Oryzias latipes: one gene and its partners. Each later gene encodes a partner of the first gene's protein in a complex. Links are inferred from orthologs where the notes say so. Each region holds a gene or a part of one and is shown in the gene's direction. Other genes may lie near its edges. The genes, in order: lamtor5, lamtor1, flcn, fnip1 and lamtor2.

Region 1 (4,953 bases):
TAATTCCATTTTTTTTTGCTCTTTCATCATTTTTTAGAGCATTTTTTTTTTTAGAGCTAGACTCCTGCTTCATTTTTAGCAATAATTTCTTAATGTGTGACGTCCTGTGTGTGTCTCTGTGAAACATATCTGAGGGATTAGATCTAAAAAATAAAACTTATTGTGATTAATATGTTTAGGTCTTATAGAACATTAAAGACTAAATCTTAGAACTCATCAGTGGGATTACTCCAAAAATATTTGGCATTTCCCTAAATTTGTGCAACACCAACAGCAGAAATCCTCCAAAAAAACTCAATCCTAAAAAAATGGTCTGATCTAATCCCCCCTCCCCCTCCCCTTCCCTCTGACACACGCGGCTCCGTCTCCATGACGACAGCGCGCAGCTGCGGCTCAGAGTTGATTGTCAGATAGAAAAAGACCCCCAATCACCTGTTAGTGTGATTCAGCCAGCCACCGGCGAGCTGCGCTCCCCTCTCGAGTTTTTTGACTTATGTTCCAAAGACTACAAAGAGGTGTGGCCGCAATCGTCTTGCAGCAGAGGGCGGTGGTCACGTGCGCATCGGGTCTGCTGTGTCGGAGCAAAGAATTGTGGGAAATAATCTCCATTGCCTGCTTTTTTCGAAATTGGGTTGAGCACGGATGTTTGTTCTGCCTAATTCATTTTCATGTGCCGGTTTTACGTTGTTTCACTCTGAGGTATTCTTTTTTTTTTTTTTTTTTTTTTTTTTTTTGCACCATAAGTGTGAAGAGCAAATAGGAGGAAGACATTCTTTAGAGTCTGATGTGTCTAAATAAAAGCATTAAGTGTCGGCTGCTCAAGCAATTTCAAATTAAAAGCTCCAAGCTTCCTCTTTGAATTTAGTATGTAGCATATTATGTGTAACGCCTCAGGAACGGCAAATGCCGCCCCCTATGAAGTGCCGCCCTGGGCGACCGCCCACATCGACCATATCAAAAACCGCCACTGCACTGCAGTAAGATAAACAGTTTAAGTCCCACTCCAATAATCATTCGATCTATTTTCAGTGTTTCCAGTACCGGTAGTCTTTTAATTATAACTATGCCGCTTTTAGGCTAAATCAAAAAACCTTTGTCGTTTTCAGGGACATACATAGTTTCTGCAGCGTGGCAGTAGTTCATTAGAAATTCATCTCTGAGTTGTGGGCGGGACTGTTGGCGAGGACTAAGCCAATCCCTGCTTCCTATCATCAGTTTACAGCCCCTCACAGCCCCCAACCTAAAATTATGCAACAAAAATGGCTAGCAATATTGGAGCTATGCAGCCATACCGTTTTGATCCAGATGTCAGCTCTGGCAAAGAAAACAAAGATGTACAAGGATCTAGTCATCTACAAGCCAATCCATCATAATGGAAAATGCTGCTGGTTGTAGTAGCTTGTAGTAGCTTCTACGTCAGATCTGCAGGATATTTCAAATGGCATTTTTGCACATGCTACTGATTCACAACGATTTGAATAAAGAAATACTCAGAAATGCAATTTTAATCTTATTTTTTTTATGTGTCCTGCATCATCAGAAAAATGTCACAAGAATTAAAAAATACACCAAAAATCATTTATTTGAATTAAGCCGTCAATTCTATTCTATTCTATTCTATTCTATTCTATTCTATTCTATTCTACTGAAAACCAATTATTTTTAATTTGTACTAAAAGATACAGTTATCAGTCTGTCTTTAGTTGGTTGTTTTGTAGTTTTGAGTTGGCTCAGCCGTTCGCGCTTCGTCTTGTTTGACCCTGGCGATGTCTCTTACTGTACGTCACAGTCACATGATTGTCAGGAGGAATTTAAGGAAACAAACGTCAACAACAAAAAATACAATTTTTGGGCCATAGAACTTTACATTTTCTGATTTTTTTACGGTTTTCTAAAGATGGAGTCAACCCTCGAACAACACCTTGACGATACGTGAGTTCTAATCTATGCTAACTAGCTTGTTTCTTTACATTTCGTACATTCGTTTGGCTAATTCTCTTGATTTCGTGTTTTTTCTGCAGCATGAAAAATCCAGCTGTTGTTGGGGTTCTATGCACGGACCAACAAGGACACAACTTGGGCTGTAAGACTCTTCAGAGTTAACAGGAAGTCACATCACATGTATTTATTCACGAAGTACCCCGTAGTCGATATTCTCTAGTTCGTCAGTTTCGCTAATAAATAAATTCCCGCAACAGTTTAGTTTCCCCAAAAACACAAGTTTCCACCGCCAGCTGTTTATGAGAGATCATGTTGTTATTTCTGATGTTTTAGTCTTTAATCTCATTAGAGAAATGTTGCCAGTGAGTGAGAGAGGCAAAGATGTAACTCAGAAAGAAGACCCATAGTGTTTAGGTCAGTGCAGATCATGTGTAGACATCTGTCTCCTAAAGACATCCTTTGCTTACATAACGGGATGTGTTACTTTTTCCAAAGAGGCCCATATTTGCAGTGAATCTTAGAACTATTTGAAACACATTAAATTAAATATACTGCAATGGGATACTTTTCATGACATTTCATGATTACATGACAGTCTTCACATAGAAAACAGACATCTAACTACGTTTTTACCAAAATTACTGTCACATTTGTATATTTTTTGCACAGTTCATTCACAGTTAGCTTGTCGTATTAGCATGTCTTATCTGGTAGTTTCTCTTGATATTGAACTCCATGAAAACAGCCACAGTCTTCTGGCCCATTAGGCAGACACAGTTGTTTTATATTTCACTGAAAAAATGTTCAAATTTTCCATTTGTCCTTTAAGAGGTTGACCCTTAAAGAGCTAGAGAGTGTCACAAAAGGGTCGCACAACAGTGTTTCCACAGGTTTATAAAGTCTGATTTAGCCAACCACACAGCTTTTAGATATTGTTGCAGGACGCGTTCTGTTGATTTTATGTAGGAGCCTACGGGCCGGTGAAAATTTGAAAGGGGGCCGGATTTGGCCCACAAGCCGGACTTTGGACATGCCTGGCTCTCATGACTGATCGACTGTTTTCCGTGTTGAAGACCTGAGTCGGAATAATTTAAAAATGGGTCTTCAACTGAATAAGTAACAATTTCCTCTTGAGGCAAACTGATTTGATCTATTATATGATAGTAACAGTTCAGACCAGCAAACATAGCAAAGAATTCTGGCTCACTGTGGTGGTCTGATCTGCTGCTGGTTATTACACCTTTGCTGCCAGATGTTAAAGCTACATGTTAAATTATCACACTGTTGGTGCTCTGACATTGTAAAAACGTGAAATCAGATTTACTTTAAGAAAAAAGTTAAATTCTAAATAAAGACTGCAGTCCAAATGAACTGATCTGATGAGCAGAAGGATGCATCTAAAGCAGGTCATCATTTAAAGTCCCACTCTGATCATCTTTTGATCTATTTCAAAAGCATTCCTAGTCTTTTATTTATGATGAAGCTGTTTTTGACCCAAAAAAAATAGTCATTTTCCAGAACAAAGTTTCTGCAGAGCAGCACTAGTTTTTTTAAAAATTCACCTCTTGAGTTGTGAGCAGGACTGTCGGCGTGAAGTAAGCCCACTTGTCGTCACTCATCTGTTTACTGTTTACATGCTCTCCTGCTAGCTTTCAGCCCTTCAGACCCCAAGCCTAACATTAGCGGTACATCAAAAATAGCGAGCAGTATCAGAGCTATACAGTCCTAGAGTTTTTAACCCGATAACTGCTCGGATGAGAAAAACAAAGACGTCCATGGATCTAGTCTGGATTCTGCTGATTCACAACGATTTGAATAAACAAATCCTGAAAAATGCATTTTTGAATATGTTCTCCATCATCAGAAAAATGCCAAAAGAACATGTTTAAAACACAATTTTCATCAGAGCGGGTCTTTGACATATTTTTTTTTTAGGTCGTGGATCTCTGTCAGATGAACATGGAGGTGTGGTGTCTGTTCTGGCTAAACAAGCAGCTGCTCTCACCAGAGACCTGACGGACACACCGACTGTGTGCCTAGAGTCCGAGTCAGGGTGAGCCATGGACTGTGCCTTTGCACAACTTCTTCTATTTCTTAGTTTTAGTGCATTTAAGGTGTGCCTTTGTAGTTTTAAATGTGGAAGTGTACAAATAAGAGTTCCAAGACGCTGTGCAATCAGCTTCAACTTCTGTGCCACAGAGGTGCAGCAGAGATGAGCATCCTCTATACCTGCTGGTCACGTGGGAGACCATGCCTAATTATTTTTCTGAGTATTGGCTCCTCTATACTATTCATGACTTTTGGAACTTCCGGATGTTGGAATATAATAATTTCCCCACCTCCTCAATACTGTACATTTAAGTCATTTAATGGATGATTTAATTCAAAGTGGCTTAACAGTGAGATACAAAACAAACCATATTATCCAGGATTAAGTGGTTGTGAGGGTTAGACTCATGGATAATCATATAGGCAGACCTGGATTTGAGTATTTATTTTTTTGGACTATGCTGCCACCTTCTGGACTCTTTTAAACTATTGAATGTAGTGGAATTCCCACCTCTGAAATGGACTTTGTCATTTGGAATTAGAAATTTACCAAAAACACAAGTAAATAGAATTCAATCCTGTTGTCTAAGTAGCACAACACCAAAAAAAAAAAACTTCTAATGAAGCTGAACAACAAACAAACAAACAAACAAAAACAACAACTATATAGTTATGAAATTACCAACTCAATTTATACTCAAATAAAAAAAAAATGAATATAGTGTCTAAAATCTCTTTTTTCTATCTAAGCCAAAGGAAAAATGTTTACATTTTTATATGTGATGAGCTCAGAAATGATTAATGAAATGTGGCTCTTCTGCTGCTTCCACACGTGTAGACTGATGTTATATGGACAGGTGAATGTGTGACTGATGCAAATTTGATTAACATTTGCCAACCCAAAATCTTGGCATGTTATGTCTGACTGATCATTTACAATCACCTAGAATGATTTCTTCACTT
Region 2 (4,934 bases), on another chromosome or scaffold:
TCATTTTACTCGCTCTTCCTGTAGCTAACAGCCCCTCACACCCTCACCATAACATTTCCGGAGCAATGTTATCGTAATGCCTGATGCCAGCTCTGATGATGAAAACAAAGATCTACTTGGATCTAGTCATATAAAAGGTGGATGCATCAGAATGAAGCGGAGCAGGTGGGAATTAAACAGGCAATATTTCGATTAGAGGTCAGCCGCCCTACTGCTGCACCATGGCCACCCCATTATAATGTTGAACTGTTCATCCGCTGTTAGGCCATCATTGAAAGGCATGTGTTTTAAATCAAATGTATTTTATTTACCGGTAGTGCCATTTGACTCTGGAATTTAATCATGCTATTCCTTAAAAGTTTTGTCTTCACTGTAAAAAACAACAACAATAAGAGCTCATAGACAAATCTATGATAAAAACAAGTCAACATTGAGATATTTATATTTAAATTGACCCATTTTCATGAACAAATCTACATTTTCCTTGTCAAAAACATAAAATTGTCACAACCATGCTTACAGCTTATGGAGTTTTTTTTAAAAACTTTTTGTTTCTGAAAAAATTTTCTGAAAATGTGTTTACTGTATATATTTCCTGTCCGCACTTATGTTTGGCTAACTATTTGTTTGTCTAACTATCTTCATTAATTATGACTGGTACATTTTTTCTTTTCTTTAATTTCTGTGAGGATTTTTATGAGTAAATGTGGATTTCCAAACATTCACTGTGAATATCTGAAATGGAGAACCTTAAATTTAACGCCCATTCATTGTCACACACCTAAATGACCACTAGAGGCTGGTTTCAGAATGAGGCAATTTCCCACTGACTCTCACATCTAAAAGTCGGACTTTAAAGCAAAATTTTATATTTCTATTGATTTATTTTTGTTCACCACAGGTGTGGAATATGTGGAGGTGTGTGTTTTTTTTTTGATTGGCAGGTAGTTGGACTTAGCAAAACTCCAACATTCTGAGCAAACTGTGGGTCTTTTTTAGTTGCAATTCGGATTCAGATTATCCCAAGCGGAGTTTTGTTATCCATTACTGTTCACTCAAAAATCCAACACTTCAGATTTCAAAAGTCAGTTATTAGATGAAACAAGAAAAAGAATACCTTTTTTCATCACTTCAGCAACAAAATAAATAATCCATCTGTCCGTCTGTCCATCCATTTTCTTTATCAGCGATATAAACGGGGCCTGTTCACCTGCTGTTGGTTCTGATAAATTATTTAACACTTAAAGGTCTTTTTTTTCAGCTCTGCTCAATTTTTTCCTTTGGCTTTTAAACAGATGACTGATTATTTTCAGCTAAAGCTCCTGAAGGTGGAATTCACCACAGATATTTATTTTTTCTTATCTTAAATAAATTTTGGAGGAAAACGAAGGTGTTAATATTTTTTATTTATTTAATAATTTTTATATATTGTAAAAATGATAGATTCAAGATTTATATGTATATTATAATACATAATTTAAAAACATTATACTATTTTTTATTACAAATATTGATGACATAATTGTTTATCAGATTTCATTAATTGCCTGGAACAAAAATAATATTATTTGTTTTAACCCTTGTGCTATCTTAGATGACCCCACCCTTACTTTGACGTGTTCTCCCTACCATGACAAAGGTGGATAAAGGTGGAAAGATTTCATGTAATTTATGGACACCAGTGAAGATCACAAATCATTGAAGAAAAAAGATTCAGCGCACTGTTTAGTCGGTCTAGATGACCCAGCTCCCAATGTTAAAATGCCTAGGATAGCACAAGGGTTAACGAAGCAAGGGGTGAGGGTTCTAATGGCACACGGCCCCGCCGAAGGGCGCCACTGTGCTTCTGCATGAAACAACCTGCATCACGTGACGAAGGCCGCAGCGGCTTCACGAGAACCGGAAGTAGAAGTTGAGTTGTTGTTGCAACACAGCTGCTGTCATGTGATAGCCTGTCTGAAAAGCTGCTGTGCTGCAGTAGCTTCCTGCTTCTTGATGTTGTTAAAGTAAAAGTCCACAGGAGAGGAATTTTATGTTTGTTGGAGACGGAGCGCGCGGCTCGTATCTGAAGGAGAACAGGGAAGCCGCGCATTGCTAGTTTGGCTCCTCAGACGCCGCCGCCATGGGTTGCTGTTACAGCAACGAGGACGAGAACACAAGTCAGGTAGTTAGCCGCTAGCTAACCACAACCCGATAACTGTACGGTGCTCGGTTCTGCCTTGTTTACCGTGGTATTTACTTTTTTTTAAAATTGATATTTAAATATAAAGAGGAAAACCTGCCCATGTAACTTCTAGTTTTGTGTCAGATATTTCTGTAACATCTAAAGCAATGTAGCTAACTCTAATGCAGGCCTAGCCCGGAGCTGATTTAGTAGCTTAAGTAAAGTAAACAAGTTGTATATCTGTTAATGTAAACATCTGGATTTCTTGTTAAAGTTTAGTGGTTTATATATACGAAATATTTACTTATCAAACAAATTCACGTCCTGCAGTTTGTTACGTAGATTATGTTCGTGCTGTTTAATCATGGGTTAGAAATCAATTGTGAGCTGTAGGCTGTACAGAATACATAACTAGACTTTTCCGTATTGTGTCTTGAAGAGTTCAGTGTCACATGATCATGCAGACTCCAAGCTATTTTAGTATAAGGAAACAAGTGTGACGTTCCTTTGTTACTGTAAATATGCCATCATAGTTGTAGTAAAATAACTGTTTAGCCCTCTATTTTTATTATTTTTGCAAAGCACATTAAACCAAACACGTAAATTGTTCTGTTAAAAGCATAGTGAAATTTAAAGTATAATTGATTTAGTTTAAACATTTCTCTATAATAAAACACACATTAGGTTTAATTAACATTATTTTTATTGATTTGTGTAAGGTCTGGTAGCATAACATGTACAAGTGGATGAAGGGTTTTTGTATTCGTATTTAAAGAATTAAAAGTTGAGATGAACTGTTTTCCGGTTAAGTGAAAAAGTTTCTTAAAATATTTAAAATGAAATGGTACTGGATAACCTAACACATGAAAAATAAATATCATAACAGACTTATTGTTCAGCACTAGCAAAGGTTGCAGAGATTTCTCTTAGTTGAAGAGTTTGTAATATGTTCACTTATTAAAAGTAAAAATGAGTAACTTGCTGCACACATGTCATCTACAGTCTTTTGTCCTGGTAAAATGGCATGCTTTCATTGTTGCAACTACTTCAGAAAACAGTTTTAAGACAGTATTTGTGACATTTTCATTCAGAAGTGTGTATAAATTGTCTGAATAGATGCTCTGCTACTTTTGCAAGGACCCTGATGAGATTAAGCCCCTTATCCCCCACCCAAACCCCATTAGCAAGCCTCCAAATGGGACAGACTGGATCAATCCTAGCGTCCCATCAGCGCGGACGGATGAGCAGGCCATTCTCACATCCATCCTGGTCAAGACAGCACAGTAAGGCACTTTTTATGTTTGGATAGGTCCAGAATGGGACTTTTGACACTATAGTCTCAAACGCAAGTAATGAAAATCTCTTTGTTGTGTTTGAGGAACATCATTGATGTCTCAGCAGCTGACTCTGTTGTTATGGAGCAGCATGAATACATGGACAAAGCCAAGCAATACAGGTATGTCTTTGAAGACTACTTATTCGTTACCAACTGAACTTTTGGCATGTGTAAGCCAATAATTTAAATTTATATTAAATTTGTAAACTGCAAGCCTCTGTATTGTAATTGGTTGAACAACTTTTATTCTGCAATATTTTGTATACATGGTTCGGATTTAGCAAAAAAAACAGTTTTATTCGTGGAATCTAAAGCAATTGAGGATGATGAGGTCTTTGTATCCTGAGGAAGTTGTGAAGGAGGTAATTTAACCACAAAATTGCTGCAGTGCTGGTGCTTCCCTATAAAAGCTGTTTAGACAAAACAGCTGTCAAGCTGTAAAAGGCAACCGCCGGTTATAGTGCAAAACTGTGCAGTCTGGTCGGACACAAGCGAGACCATTTGGGTTAATTTTTTTTGAAGCTGAACTTGTGTTTTTTTTTATGGTTCCAGTACAAAGTTGACTGCAGTGAGCACCAGCCTACCACAGAAGAAAGCACTAGCCCTCCCCTCACTCACTACCCAGCCCCACCAAGTGCTTGCAAGTGATCTGGTGTCATATTCAGATATTCAGCAGGTAACCACACTGACACGCACTTTAATCCATGTCCTTGAATCCATGTCCTGTTTGTCCTGCCTTGTTTTATGCTGTAAAACCAGGTGATTTGTTTAAAAAACAAAACAAAGACCCTATAAAAAAGTTGAGGTTTATCTTGGTTGTGTTTTGAAAATAAAAACAGAGTATTTTGAAATATTGTTGCATCAACCCATTTCTTCATCTAAACATTCAGAATTCTCCCCCTTAAAAATGTACAAATGGACAAAAAAAAGAAAACAAGTGATATTAATTACTAGACTCTCAGTTGAAATCGCATGTTACTTTCTGCTGAAGTATTAATATTAATTTTTTTTTTCATTATTATGATCAGTGCTTTATATTTTAAAATATTCTATTAGAAGTCTGTAATAGCGTTCTGATCATGCAGATTTTCAAAATCAAATGACTCAGAATCGGATTGGGGGCAAAAAAAAACCTCGTTGGGAGACGTCTCCGCTAAGTACTTCATGTGAAGAGTTGCTTTTTCTCTTTTAACTGTAAAGCTGAACGTTTGTAAGACATCTTTTAAAGAGCAAATACACAATTTTTGTTCAATTCTTCAATATTTGACTTGCTGCTTGTTGGGACTGCAAATGGACATTAGCTCTGAGAGCTATGGTCTGGGACAAAGCACCTTTTCTTTTATTAATGTTCCTGTAATTGGTTCCTGTCAAATAAATGAAACCTACAATGTTGTCCTTTTTCCGCAGGTGTCCAAGATAGCTGCTTATGCTTAC
Region 3 (3,708 bases), on another chromosome or scaffold:
TCTCGTAGTTTTTTCTTAACAAAAAGCTTAAGAGAAAAGATGACAGGCTCATATCTGCTCAGTTTGATTCCCCTCTTAAGATCTTTATTTCCATTTTGCTATACTGTTGGATTTGTGCTCAGTGTTGAATTAGCAAGCCTTTTGTCCTGCCTGTGTTATGATGCTGTTCTTTCTTTAGTGGTAGAGAGGATGGAACAGCCAAACACCCTCCATTCGGGTACAACATGAACAGCAGTGCTTAAAAACTCACTCTGATGAAAATCATGTTTTTTGTGTTTTTAACATGTTTTTCTGGCATGTGTCTGATGTTGGAGGACAACTACAAGGAGAAATAAACTTAAAATTGCATTTCTAAGTATTTCTTTATTTAAATCGTTGTGAATCAGGAGCAGATGAACTAAATGCCGCTTGAAAAAGCTTGTATTTAAAAAAAGCTACATTGGACGGGTCACAAGCTCCATTCTGATGCATCCACTTGCAGACAGATAGATCCACGTTTGTGTCTTCATTTTCCTCATCCAAGCTACTATTTGGCTCGAAACTGTATGACTGGATAGCTGCAATATGGCTTCCCATTTTTGTTGCATCGGTAACGTTAGGTTGGGGTTGTGAGGGGCCATAAGCTAGCAGGATAACATGTAACCAGATGGGCGACGGGAAGTGGGGTGACCTTGCTACATCCCACAACTCAGAACTACTGCAATTATGACCTAGAAAACGAAACAAGTTTTTGAATTTTGGAATGCTTTTAAAATGGCATAAGACATCAAACTGATTTTAATGTCTGTCTGTGGTTCTTCTAGACGTTGCTGCCAGTCGGCTGTGTGCGCTCGGTGGCGTACAGCGATCGGTATGAGGAGGCCTACAAATGCAACTTCCTGGGTCTCAGCCCCGATGTTCCCATTCCAGCACACGTCAGCTCCTCAGGTACCACATCTCCTCGTGTCGCCGGGAAACCCCACACCCACATATTGTTCGATTTTGCTTTGGAGGAATTTTCTGGGATCTTTTTGTTTTACTCTTTTACTTTTTTACCTTCCCTAAGAGTTTTCTGTGCTGGTGGACGTGACCTCAGAGAGGAGCCATGCCACGTCTGCTGCAGGCGAAGATGACATCTCCGCTTTCAATCACTTCAGCATCAGCAGTGCCAGCACACAGCCAACAGACAGAGGTGAGTGCTCACACCGGCAATAATGCTTGCACATATGTGGTCACTGATGCGTTTTGGGAGGAAGAATTCATGTCCCAGCTGCTCTGAAAGATTCTAAATGTTCTATTCTTTTAGAAACTCTTATAAATAAATATTAATTGGGTTATATGTGTAGCTTGAAAACAGCAGAGATGGGAAATGCAGATGACTGCTGAGGCTTCCGGGCTTGTTTTGTTTTGTAATCCTATACTTTTTCACTGAAGCGCTGCTATAAATTATGAGCTTGAAGAGAAGCTTATAATGCCTGTTGTGCCCAGCAGAGAAAAAAATACAGTATGTCTTTGGTTTTATGTTTTCATTTTTTAGTGGGACTTCACCGCAGCATTTCATTAAAACAAAACACCTTTTTCGAATTACATAATAAAATAACAAGGTTTAAATTCCCGTTAGAAACTACCTATTAGGTGGTTGGCTTCATCGCTGTCCCAGCTTTAATCCAAACCTGTTCTGTAAACAGAAATGTGTTTCTTTTTTCCTCTCAGGTCCAACTTTATTAAACAAGCTGGAGGCCGCCCTGTCAAACGAGAACTTGTCTGTGGACGTCGTGTCTCACTGCCTGCTTTGTTTGAAGGAGGAGTGGATGAAGTGAGTCCTACTGAGGCAGACTTGGTGTCAGTTAAAGACAGATTTTTTCCCCCCTGCTCTTTAGTGAACCCTATTGTGAATTTTCTCTCTTTCAGTAAGGTCAAAGTGCTGTTCAAGTTCTCCAAAGTGGACGGCCGAGGGAGGGAGGACACCCAGAGGGTTCTGGCTGTTCTCGGCGCCACGGGGCCCGGCGAGGAGGAGAACGTCAGACTGCTCAAGTACTGGATGACAGGACTCAGTAAACTCTACAAGAGCCATTTAATGACAGCAGTACGAGGAGGGGAGAGGAGCCTCAGCCAGTGACAAAGAGAGGAGGAGGAGGAGCCGGTGAAGGGGCGAAAAACGGGGAGCTCAGAAAAAAAAGGAAAAGTGAAAGCAACATCTAAATGCTAAACGAAGCATGCATAAGTCTTTTCTTTGTTACTGTTCAGCACCTTTAGCTGGAATGAAAGGGAACTAGAGGACTGTGAATGAAGGAATTTGCTCATCTATTGTCTTTTTAAGGAATAAATCTATTGTGCTCACTCTGCACACATTACCATGCTGAGGAATTTTAAATAATATATAAGCATTTTTTTGTATCACAGGGAATTTCTTAATGCAAAATGTAACTTATTACTACAGCAATTTGCACTTCTGTGTAGTCATTCTGACATTTTCAGCTGAAATAAATCATCACATGGTGAGTGGGTGTAACTCCACAGCTGGCTCCATCTTGTGGTGAACCAGAGGAATACATACTGGGAAGGGGGGTGCAGAAGGAGGGGCTGTTTGTCCAGAAGCTCAATTGTTGAACTGGCCATCGGCCAGCAAGTCCCAAGTGTTGTAAGACAACACTTTTCAGTTTTTCTGCTAAACGGTTGCACAACAAGGCCTGGCTTCAGCACCACATCGGCAGGATTTTGCAGTCTTAATCTCAGGGGGGGTTCGTTTCTTCATACAACTTATTGAAGCCTGTTGATTTTCTAAAGTTTGCAGACAGCATGTGGCTTTTATTCTGTCGAGGTTTTTTTTTTTTTTTTTTAAATCTACATATATGCAAGTACTAGTGAAAAGAAACCAAATTTTTATTCCAAATTAGGAGATAAATTGGAGTTTCTAAAATTGGTTGACTATCTTTCTCTTTAGAAGGAATGTGTTGACTAATAGTCTTCATGTTTTGCTTTCTCTCTTGTGGCTGAAATCTGGACTTTATTTGCCGTGTTGAATGACTTAGAAGTCTCTAAAAACATCTGTCACATATGTAAGTTATGCATGAGCAGAGAAAAGAAACAAATCCATATTTGTCTGGTATGGTACGGGTCAAGGTTTTTCACTTTGATTACACTTAGGGGACCTATGTTGTTGGCTGCAGGGCCGCCTGGATTCTCTGGCTTCCTTTTTCCTCCTCGGCAGAGATGGCTGGACGTGAACTTTCAGAAGAACAATTTGTCTTTGGCACAGCGACTGTCTTCGTCCTTCCTGTCATTAGTTGTTAACCCCTTTCTTTGCACTTTGCTGAAATCCAAATGATGCTTGTCATAACCTGAGGGAGCAGGACAAGGTGTTAATGATGAAACGATGACAGCGGATGTCAGTTCTTGGTATCGCCATCACACCAAGCTGAGTTTTTTTTTTTTGTTTTTTAAACACAAGTGACTAAATGGGAGCTCTCACATGCATGACTTGCAAGTTCTGACTTTGCAATGTGGCAATCATGCTTGGGAAGGAATGCGATTCACTGTCTATTTAAAGAAAAATAGCTGTGATTAGGCTGAATGAGCCCGGAGGGCTAAGGACCAGAGGATTCACAGGCGCAGAGGTGTGGGGGAGAATTCAAATGAAAAACATACGCTCCCACTGCATGACTAAGCCTCCTCAGCCCTGATTTGGGAGGATGGGGTGGGGGTGTCAGGGAATGTGGGGAGCATGGG
Region 4 (4,975 bases), on another chromosome or scaffold:
TCTGTTTTTATAGTATTAAATCCATTTTTATAACCAAATTATACCTATGTTTTTTTGTAATCTGCATCTACAGATAAATCTCAGGAGATGAAACCTGCACAAGATGTAAGAAAAATATGTGTTACTTCATCATTTTAAATGTTTTTTGTTAATCAACTGTGTTTTTTCAGTAGCAGTTGAATAATTGTGTTTTTGCCCTAGTTTGTTGGGAGAAGGCCCATAGTGTGCAGAAAAAGGGTATCATTCAAAAGCCCGGTCATTTCTGAGCCTCTGAAAGAAAAACATGCTCCATCACCTTCAGGCATAAATGACACCATCCGGAAACTATCCCGAGTTTCTGAGCGGACGAAACCAGATGCACAGACGCCCAAAATGGATGAAATCAGCTCTAAAAAAGAAATAACGGTGACCCCAAAAAGGCCTGTTGAGACTGAGAAAACCATGTTCTTTGACTTTACCAGCAACGCTGACATGGATGCTCTCTTTCAGAACATGAGAGATAGAAGTGCAAAACTTAGGTGCTCATTTTATTTTCCTTTTACTGTAGGCACCCAAAGCCCTCTGCGTAATAAAAGCAGATCTGAGTTAACCTGAAGTTAACTCTGATACTACAGTGTACAGTTGCACAACATAGTTTTTGCCTAAATGACAATATAAAAACATGATTGGAACGAACATGCTCTCTGTGAGAAATGACTCTGACTTTAGAAGACATGGATAAATTAATAAAACAAATACAATGGCAAATAAAGAGAACTAGCTCATAAATTAGTTTGATATAAAACATGAATGCCTTCAAAACAGTAAATGTTTGTATTTTCTTTTTCAGTATAGGACATCAAGAAAATAAACATACTAATAAGAGTTTTTAAACCTTATAAAACTATACAAGATGTGGGTATATTTTAATATGTAATGTGTGTTTCTATAGCTTTGTTTCTTCTGTAACCTCTTTTAATGTATCTGCATATTATATAAAGCAAAAACAATGTTAGAGCCTGTATTTTTAATGTTTGCATGTAATCCAAATGTGTTGTGAATGTTGAACACTAGGTGGCGCATCTGTATCAGTTTTCTTGTCCTCTTTAAAAAATAAAAATAAATATAACACGTGTTAAACGTATGCCAACGTTTTTATTTTAATATTCAAAATTCTATAAATGTTTTTTCAATAATCCTTTGAATATCAGGTTGTTACATTTTTGAAAGGTGTCTTTTTGATAAAAATGAGAATGCGCAAATTAGTCAAAATAGTAAAACCTTCATCTTTTGTATAATTTACAACTGTGAAATAAAAACTATTTAAAATTAAATTACGTTCTGTAAACATTAATATATATGTCAATGTATTCCACTGTATACGTACAATTTAGGATTTTTTTGTTTTGTTTTTAAAAGGATATTTGTGAAATAAGTGTTAAATTTATAGCATGTTTCTGTCCGAAGTTCAACCGGTGTAAAAGACTAAATTTAGTGACGTAACGATTCTAGACAAAACATCAACACGGAAAAGTCTGTGGTCACGTGGTTCCAGTCCAAAAATATAAGCCAATCGCGTAGTTTGTAGTAGCAGCCGTATCTGGTTAGCCAATCAGGAAAATGTAGATGGTTACCAAGGTGCTCCTGTGACTAATGCCTGTCATATGACTGACACCCATGGAGACAGTTACAAGGAACAAAATTTGCTTGTGGATTTGAAAAGAACGGGTATCCGTGCCGAATTCGTTGTGGGAACAAAATGCCTCCAACTCTTTTCCACAAACTTTTCAACAAGAAGAATGCATTTTCATCGCCACCACCTAGATGCAGCAAAGAAGACGTCGCTTTCAGGTAGCTGTCCTGTGTGTGTTTGTTCGGGGTTTGTGTGTGTAATGTTGTGTGCGCTATTTATTTATTTATTAAATTCACTGTATTGTTTGGTAAGAAAGTATAACTTCGGGTGGTAAATGTTTAGGAAGTGTGGCTTCTAAATAGCCCCTGTGCACCTCTTTGTATACAAGTAAAGTAAAGTACGTGGGATACGTGTTGTGACTGTTGTTGCGGGAAGCTAGCATGCTAATGCTAACAACTAGCCGAGCTGCAGGACACGCTTTCTTGGTGCGACTTGGCTCAATATCGATCTCATCCCAAACATTTAAACCAATATTGTTCCGTGTATGACGTGATTTTGTAGCTAAAACAAACTCTGAGCTTTTAGCGAGTCTGTGTTTGTTGCTTATAGAAGTTATAAGGGAGCAGTGTGCCGCTCTTTTTCCTTTGTTTCTCCTCGTGCCTCCCTTTCTGTGTCTTTGGCAGTAATTGAGCGCGTGCAGGGCAGCGCAGACCCTCTCCCGTGTTGCTCATCTTTGCTGAACGTGGAGCAAAGTACACAGATGATATTGTATTCCGCCGTTTCGGTCTGATAGAGGGAGGACACAGTGTGCTCTGTCGGATGACATGTGAAAGCTTCCGTGGCCCGTTTGGAGATGCAGAATTGACGGTCCGGATCTGCTTCTGAACCAACAGTTCTCACATGGGATGCCTTTGCGAATATATGATGGCACTTTGAAATAAACGGACAAAATGACCTCTTTTACATATAAATGCACAATAAAACAGCAAAACTTGTAACAATTTCATTGTATTTATTTATTTTTAGAAATTGAGACACAAAGAACTCCACCAGAATTGTCTGGGTTAAAAGTGACTATTGCTTTACACCAATAAAAACATGTTTTTCATGCAAAAGCAACTTTATTATATGCAAATATTTTGATATTTTATTGCATCTCCACTTTTATTACTCTTAAATCGCTAGTTATATGAAAAAGGGTTGTGGAACTGTACATTTAAAAATTAAAGAAAAAATGCTGGAGCATCACCTCAGAAATGTATTTTGCTTGTATACAAATCTTTAAAAAAAATATTCTCATGTTGCAGTGCTTTGTTTTGTTTTCCCTAACCAGTAATGATCCATATTTGGTCAGAAAAAGAAAATAAATGCCTTTTCACCTTTTTTTCCCCCATATCAGATTATTTTGTTTTATTTCTGCTGATGTTAACTACCTTTTAATAATTTAATTTATCTTTTTAATGATGTATTTTATATTCCTATTATCAGATACTGCAAAAGCAGTGTCTATTGAGGCAAAATCTAGTATGTTTTACAACTATCTATTAGTAAAAATAAAGTAATCAAAAATTGCTTTCCACTGCATTCGTGCATAAACAGATTGCAAAATAAATGTTCATATATTTTTAATACTGCTTTCAAAAAAGTATTTCAAAATATATTTTTGAATTAGGATTATGAACTAAATGTATTTGGACTAAAGTGATGTCTGTACTATAGTTTGCTAAAGTTATGTCATGTTTGAGTTGATTAGAACTAAAAGTTGACTTTTACTTTATTACTGTCGCTGTATTTGATAAAATACTACACCGAAATTATTTTTCTAGGATAGTCTAGGATAGTCTAGCACACCTTCTAGATGAGAGTAATGTATGCTTTGAATGGGGAATCTTTGAATTTCTACGTTTTTACTGGGCAATGTCGCATGTTGTCCTTTAACTGTGAATTATTTGTGGTCATGAAAGCTCATCTTCTTGTTAGGCTGCTGGCACTTTACCCAGCATGGGCTATAGCACATCTGATGGCCAGAAAGGTGATTTAAAAAAAAGTGACGCATGTGTAAATGTGTAATTAGGCTTAGTAGTTGGTGTTGGTTGGCATCAGTCTAGAGCAAACAGACAGCAGGCGGTTCTGTTAACTCTGTGGTCAGCTGTGCTCTTCATACCTCTGGCTAAAGCTTCCCCCATTCATCAACCATGAAATGGCTCTGAAGGGGAGAAATCTGTCTATAGACAGTAGGGAAAGGACACTTGGGTGCTAATATTTATGACTAGTGTAGTTTTACATACAAGGGATACTGAATGAATGTTTTCCGAGTTAAAGAAAATACATTTTTTTAAAGTATCTTTCATTAGAATGTGTATGAGGAACAGCTGGACTGGAGAAAGTTTCAGGTTAATTCAGTCACCAGTGAGAAATCTGTTTTAAATGCTGTTATAAGTAGCCTGGGTTAGTTATTATTAGTTATTTGGAGGTTCCTGGCACTTTGTCCTAGAAACTCCAAACCTGAATCCTAAGTCTGACTGAATAAAGGAACTAGAACATCTAATACAATCACACAAATAAGTTTGACTGAACTTAGTCTTTGTTCACATCTTGCTGCCCTACATTAAGCGTCAACAACCAAAAACATAATCGGACCGCATCATTGTGGCTTTCAAAATACCACAGAGGGTAGAGGGTTGGCTCACCCTGCAGTAAAGCCTAAAAGCCTCTCTTGTTTCCATAGCTGCAACTCCTGAGCCATGGAAAGCGTACTGTACGATACGCCGAGAGTTTCTGGCTCATCTGCAGCCGGTCTCCAGTGCCGCGACTCAGATTGCTTGTCACGGGAGCCTGCTGAGGAAACCCTCCCTCTTGACCTGTGTCATGCAGCTCCTTAAAAATAAGCTTGTGCTGAAATGTGTGGAGTCTGTAGAAGCAATACACAGGAATTAATAATAATAAAAAAACTTTTTACATTTATGTTATGTTTAAGGAAAAAACTTTTTTTTATTTTTAGATGTTCAAAAATTACGCAGAACTTTATTATTATTATTTTTTTGGAGATTTATTTTTTTTATTGATGCAAAATTCATAATTGCAACTACGTGAACTTTTATATTTTTAATAGCAACGACATGATTCTCAGAATACTTGTCCACATTTAGAAATGCTTGACATTGCAGAAGGCTTTGCAAAGTTTTAAGCTGCATGGAACGTATTTATAGTGGTCATTTCATTAATGATGGTTCAGGAGAAGACGTTTCTCAGGTTCCTGACTGGAATAGGATCTTTCCCCTACTACATGGTTTCAGAATGTGGTGTGTCATGTGAGGTTTTCATCAAGCTGGGCCTGTCATGTTTCTGGAATGATCACATGGC
Region 5 (5,012 bases), on another chromosome or scaffold:
CGTGGCGTTTTTTCGCGTCGGTGTGCACACTCTCATTGGTGCCCTTTGTTTAGTCACGAGGCGTTAAATTCGCCGACGAAATTTGTCCCGGTGTGAACAGGCCTTAAGCTATGTAAACTACGCATAAACTGCAAAATTTCAAAACCGCTCAAAACCAGACTCACGCAAAGAGTCGTTGGCCGAAATCCTCTACAGATCTGTGCCCATTGACAAATGAATGAATTACGTTTATCACATATGTTTCACAAAAGACAGAACTTAAGCAAAATGTGTGACATGGCCTTAACCCTTGTGTTATCTTAGATGACCCCACCCTTACATTGACGTGTTCTCCCTGCCATGACAAAGGTGGATAAAGGTGGAAAGATTTCATGTAATCCATGGACACCAGTGAAGATCACAAATCATTGAAGAAAAAAGGTTCAGAGCACTTCTAGTGGGTCTACATGACCTAACTCTCTGTGTTAAAGTGCCTATGATAGCACAAGGGTTAATGTTCTGATAATGAAATAAAATGTATTTTCTGCCATTTTATAAAGGTGTATTAGTATTCACTCAAAGTTTTGCAAATTCATACTCTTTTTAAAATTGGTGATATTTAGCCTTTCTTGCAGCCACACTGTACATACTGATTAGATTTTTTTTGTAATTTCTTTTCTCCAAAAGACACTTTTATTCGTCATCATCATTTGTCCTTTCAGTTGCAGAGACTAGAATAGAAAAAACTGATTTTTTGACCTTTCATCTAAACTTCAGAGGTGTCAGAATGACCTCAAAGAGTTTTACTATAAATTTAAAGAGTTAACTTTTTTGTCACATATCTAGAAGGAAATGTGTTTATTTCCTTCTGCCAAAATGAGACTACATCCTCTCTGATTTTACACCACGTCTGTAGCTTTCAATGGTTGACGGTATAAACAAAACTGTAAACGGATGCACTTGTGTGACTATAATTTTACCAAAACACATATCAGAGAATACATATTAACCATGCACTCATGTACCATAGCAGTTACAGCATGGAATCAAATCAACTTTTGTTTATACAAATGATTGGTTTGTGTCTTTTTTATAAGTGTGTCCACTCAAACACAACAGATTTACCTCTTAGAACAAAATCCTCTTCTTACAGACAAAAAAAAAACAATAATATCCTCGGCCCGATCACTTTTTCTGATGTCCAAAGGGCAGGAGGGAAACGATTCTGCCAAACACTTTGCGCAAACATGTCCTCCCACCAGGAAGCCAGCAGACAATAAAAACCTCAAAGCAGACTAACCTTTACTGTAAGGAGGAGTGTCAAAAGATTTAAATAACACTTCTTTGGTTGAAGTAGAATAAAAAGTACACTTCTTTGAAGCATAAAATCTTTGAGATAAAAACTCTAAATATGACAAAGGAGATGAATCAAGGAGGTGAAGTTTTCGTCGTTCACTGAAGCAAACTATATTTCCCATGATACATTTCCAAAGAACTGGTCATATTCTAGCAGCTCTAATAGGTGTGAGTGTGAATGGGAGTGTGATTGTGGCCCTGCGACAGACTGGCAATCTGTCCAGGGTGTCCCCTGCCTTCACCCACAAGTGGCCGGGATAGGCTCCAGCAGCCCCGTGACCCAGAAATGGACAAAACGGAGGAAGATGAATGAATGGCCATATTCCAGTTCTCAAAAATGTTTACAGACTACATGGGAAAGTAATTTAAAACAAAAAGATTTGTGAAAAAATCAGGAATAATTAAAAATTTAAAAATAAAGTTTAAAGAAAAACATAATAAATATAAATAGGAAACATGTATTTGGATATAACTGCAATTCCCATGATGCATCTCTAAATGTACCGGAAAAGGAAACAGAAGAAGAATCGAGTCAGCTGACTTTGCTCTGTTATTGAGCAGTTCTCTCTTCTTTTTTAAGCCCCGTGTTTATTCAGTCAGATCATTTTTCTGGGTTTTTTCTCCTGAGAGAGGTCGGCCATGTTGCGACCCAAAGCGCTGACGCAAGTTCTCAGCCAGGCGAACACGAACGGCGTCCAGAGCACCCTGTGAGTACCGCGAGCTAGCAGGCTAACATCCAGCTAGCTAGCAGCGGTTTGTTTGCGTCTAGCTCCTTAGAACTCTTAAAGCTCCCCTGAAACGACACGTTTATATAATTATTACTTCACCAACTTAATACTACTTTTACATTTTCATTATTTATTGCAATAAATACAAATATATTTTTTCAAGATTTGTTTTCCGCTGTTAAATCAAATACAGTTTTACACGAATTTCAAGCAGTTGAATTTTGATTTCAAAATAAGAGTCTTTTTAAAATATATTTGGTTCGTTTTTATTTTTGCTTAGAAAGTCTGTTCAGGGTACAAAATATCATTATCAGGTAGAAAAAAAGCAAAAAAAATCGATTTACATTTAAAAAGTGGTGTGGGAAAATAAGTAATCTGTAATGTTTGATGTAGATCTGTTTGATATAGATCTGTTCATCGTTTTAGCCATTTTGCATCAATCGATCAATTTCTGTCCTGGAGACCTCCTGACAAAATTACTTGGTTTTCATGGTTTGAAAACGGAATGGCGTTTGTCTTAAAACTTTGTCACTGTAACTTTTCATCATTGTGTTGTTTTTGTGTGTAATGAACAACCGTCTCTCTGTGCGAGCAGCCTACTGAACAACGAAGGCTCCCTCCTGGCGTACTCCGGTTACGGCGACACAGACGCTCGAGTGACCGCTGCCATCGCCAGCAACATCTGGGCCGCCTACGACAAGAACGGCCACCAGGCCTTCAACGAGGACAAACTCAAGTTCATCCTCATGGACTGCATGGTGGGAACTTTCTCCTTGTTTTCCTTCAGCCCTTTTGTTGAAGTTAGATTCTATGAATGCCCCAACATCTCTGAAGGGGTCTGCAATTTGAGGCATCACAGCTGTTTTTTTTCCCCCTCCATTGTGACTTTAAAGAAAAAATGTGTATTATTTAAATAAAATAATGTGTTTGTAGTTTTGCTTTAGCATGCATACATGGTGGCACCTGTTCAGTCTGGTCTGTTTCAAACGGGACCAAATGGCTCTTTTAATGTTGTACAAAATATGAATAATGGGACTTGAGCAAACCTTCAGATATGGAAGGAGCTGGCTCTTGATACCAATAGCACCACAGGAAGACACCAAACACACACTCCTTGTACTCCTTGCCCATTTTTTTTTGCCCCGCTCTACAGTTTTGTAAACATTGCTCAAGTCAAACGTGTCAACGTCCTGCATCATTTTTCTCATGATACATAAATAATCTTCGCTCATGCAAACAACCAGATGATTTTCTTATTTCTAACTTCCAGCTCTGAGGCAAAATGTTTAACTTAATTCCCGAAAATCAGCGAATCCACACAGTAAAACCCCCACTCTGCCTTAGGAGGAGGGGCTTTGTGGAGAGTCTTGCTCTGTAGATGGAGGGGAAACCTGCTGCATTTGGTCGCATAAAAAAAGCTGAGATCCATTCTTTCAAACCTGTGATTCAGTTCGATTTGCGCCTCATCGCCCCTTATTCAGTAATAATTCATGTCTGCACATTAGCTGAGAGCTGCTGAACTGAGTGAAGGTCAGGCTTACATAAATACTGTCGTAAATCTGAGCATCGCAAACTAACAGCAAAGCAGTGTTCTGTGAGAAATCCATCTGACTTAGTGGATTTATGATTGGAAGTTACAACCTGTAAAGAAAAGTGACTTTTAGTCTTTGGACTCGACCAATAAAAAGGCTTTTTTTTTTTTTCTCAGGAAGGGAGAGTGGCCATAACGCATGTGGCTAACCTGCTGCTTTGCATGTACGCCAAAGAGACGGTGGGCTTCGGGATGCTGAAAGCAAAGGTGAGGGCGCTGCTTCCTCACATGGGTCTTCATCAGCTGTGGTTCCTCAACGAGTCCCGATTCCTGACCCCACAAGTTCAGTTCAACCAAGGACATTTATTCACTCGTTTATTCATTCACTCTCCTCTATGTAGTTTAGTGGAAGTGAAGCATATTTCAGATCAAATTCCGATTCCAAGTTATTGGATTTGGAGTTGCTGCCGATACCGAGTTCCGATCTGTTACTGTCGTAGCACATCCAAAAAAAAATGACAAACTTAATAAACAGATCAACATTTTCCAAATTTTTAAAATTTTATTAAGCTTCTTTTAGCATTTTACACGTAAACAGAGCACTTCTGGGAAGTATCTTCAACAATCAAGGAAAAGTAATGCAATTATCAAATAGAAAAAATAGTTAACTATAAACTAGTACAAACTTGTTAATAGTTAACTAGTCAAAATAGGTTAATTAGCCCTATGAGAAAGTTTGGTGACTGTAGCCTTAACATCTTCAGAACTGTTGAACATTTTTGATCAGATGTGATTCATTTCCCTGTTATAATATCAAATAATCAATTTCCAAATTCATCGTTGTAGCATAATTATGATGAGTATTTGTGACTTTCAACAGAACCATTGACTAATCGTTAGTATTTTTATTATTATTATTATTATTATTATTATTATTATGTATTTATTTATCTTGGTCTATTTTTCCCAGAACTTGCACTTTGTAGGCGGTCCCTTATCAGCCCACCATCAGTTTCATTCTCTTGAAAAGAATGAAAAAAAGAGCAATTTTTATTTATTTACTATTTACAGTCTTTGTAAGTCGTTGGTAAGTTAAGATGAGCCAATATAGACACTTGCTGTCAGTATAAAATGTTTGATATACCGTACTTATTGTGTCAGGAAGTCTGAATCTGTGAACAACTGGTTAACTTTCCCGAACTGTGTTTGTGCGCCTCCTGGTGGCGTATTCCTGCTCCGCTTTACGACAATAAAACGTCCTGATCCATTCAGGAAGTGCCGACTTCTAGTAGAGTATTTATCTGTAATGTTAAAAATATATATATAACGGTAATTTCATTTTGATTTGACTTATTGGTTTATTTCAAGCCTTAATTGAATTAATAATAATAATAGATTGGATTTATCTGTGCTTTTCC

What was found.
Region 2: lamtor5 (region 1) and lamtor1 share a complex: the UniProt entries of both Homo sapiens proteins name them as parts of the ragulator complex. The link is inferred for Oryzias latipes from reciprocal best matches to the Homo sapiens genes LAMTOR5 and LAMTOR1.
Region 3: lamtor5 (region 1) and flcn share a complex: the UniProt entries of both Homo sapiens proteins name them as parts of the lysosomal folliculin complex. The link is inferred for Oryzias latipes from reciprocal best matches to the Homo sapiens genes LAMTOR5 and FLCN.
Region 4: lamtor5 (region 1) and fnip1 share a complex: the UniProt entries of both Homo sapiens proteins name them as parts of the lysosomal folliculin complex. The link is inferred for Oryzias latipes from reciprocal best matches to the Homo sapiens genes LAMTOR5 and FNIP1.
Region 5: lamtor5 (region 1) and lamtor2 share a complex: the UniProt entries of both Homo sapiens proteins name them as parts of the ragulator complex. The link is inferred for Oryzias latipes from reciprocal best matches to the Homo sapiens genes LAMTOR5 and LAMTOR2.

The regions. Positions count from the first base shown.
Region 1 is NC_019865.2:10,896,996-10,901,948, reverse strand, and holds the start of lamtor5 (ragulator complex protein LAMTOR5), read left to right. Parts: upstream 1-1,758; 5' UTR 1,759-1,897; coding exon 1,898-1,932; intron 1,933-2,021; coding exon 2,022-2,083; intron 2,084-3,876; coding exon 3,877-3,994; intron 3,995-4,953. UniProt on the Homo sapiens protein: As part of the Ragulator complex it is involved in amino acid sensing and activation of mTORC1, a signaling complex promoting cell growth in response to growth factors, energy levels, and amino acids.
Region 2 is NC_019871.2:21,798,139-21,803,072, reverse strand, and holds the start of lamtor1 (ragulator complex protein LAMTOR1), read left to right. Parts: upstream 1-1,836; 5' UTR 1,837-2,122; coding exon 2,123-2,164; intron 2,165-3,301; coding exon 3,302-3,447; intron 3,448-3,542; coding exon 3,543-3,620; intron 3,621-4,052; coding exon 4,053-4,176; intron 4,177-4,907; coding exon 4,908-4,934. UniProt on the Homo sapiens protein: Key component of the Ragulator complex, a multiprotein complex involved in amino acid sensing and activation of mTORC1, a signaling complex promoting cell growth in response to growth factors, energy levels, and amino acids.
Region 3 is NC_019874.2:19,455,731-19,459,438, reverse strand, and holds the end of flcn (folliculin), read left to right. Parts: intron 1-803; coding exon 804-927; intron 928-1,045; coding exon 1,046-1,171; intron 1,172-1,692; coding exon 1,693-1,795; intron 1,796-1,890; coding exon 1,891-2,098; 3' UTR 2,099-2,496; downstream 2,497-3,708. UniProt on the Homo sapiens protein: Multi-functional protein, involved in both the cellular response to amino acid availability and in the regulation of glycolysis.
Region 4 is NC_019872.2:4,917,786-4,922,760, reverse strand, and holds the start of fnip1 (folliculin-interacting protein 1), read left to right. Parts: upstream 1-1,623; 5' UTR 1,624-1,738; coding exon 1,739-1,830; intron 1,831-4,975. Other genes in the region: uncharacterized protein LOC101165494, read left to right, coding at 74-105, 202-594. UniProt on the Homo sapiens protein: Binding partner of the GTPase-activating protein FLCN: involved in the cellular response to amino acid availability by regulating the non-canonical mTORC1 signaling cascade controlling the MiT/TFE factors TFEB and TFE3.
Region 5 is NC_019874.2:28,619,935-28,624,946, reverse strand, and holds the start of lamtor2 (ragulator complex protein LAMTOR2), read left to right. Parts: upstream 1-1,828; 5' UTR 1,829-1,974; coding exon 1,975-2,042; intron 2,043-2,658; coding exon 2,659-2,821; intron 2,822-3,771; coding exon 3,772-3,861; intron 3,862-5,012. UniProt on the Homo sapiens protein: As part of the Ragulator complex it is involved in amino acid sensing and activation of mTORC1, a signaling complex promoting cell growth in response to growth factors, energy levels, and amino acids.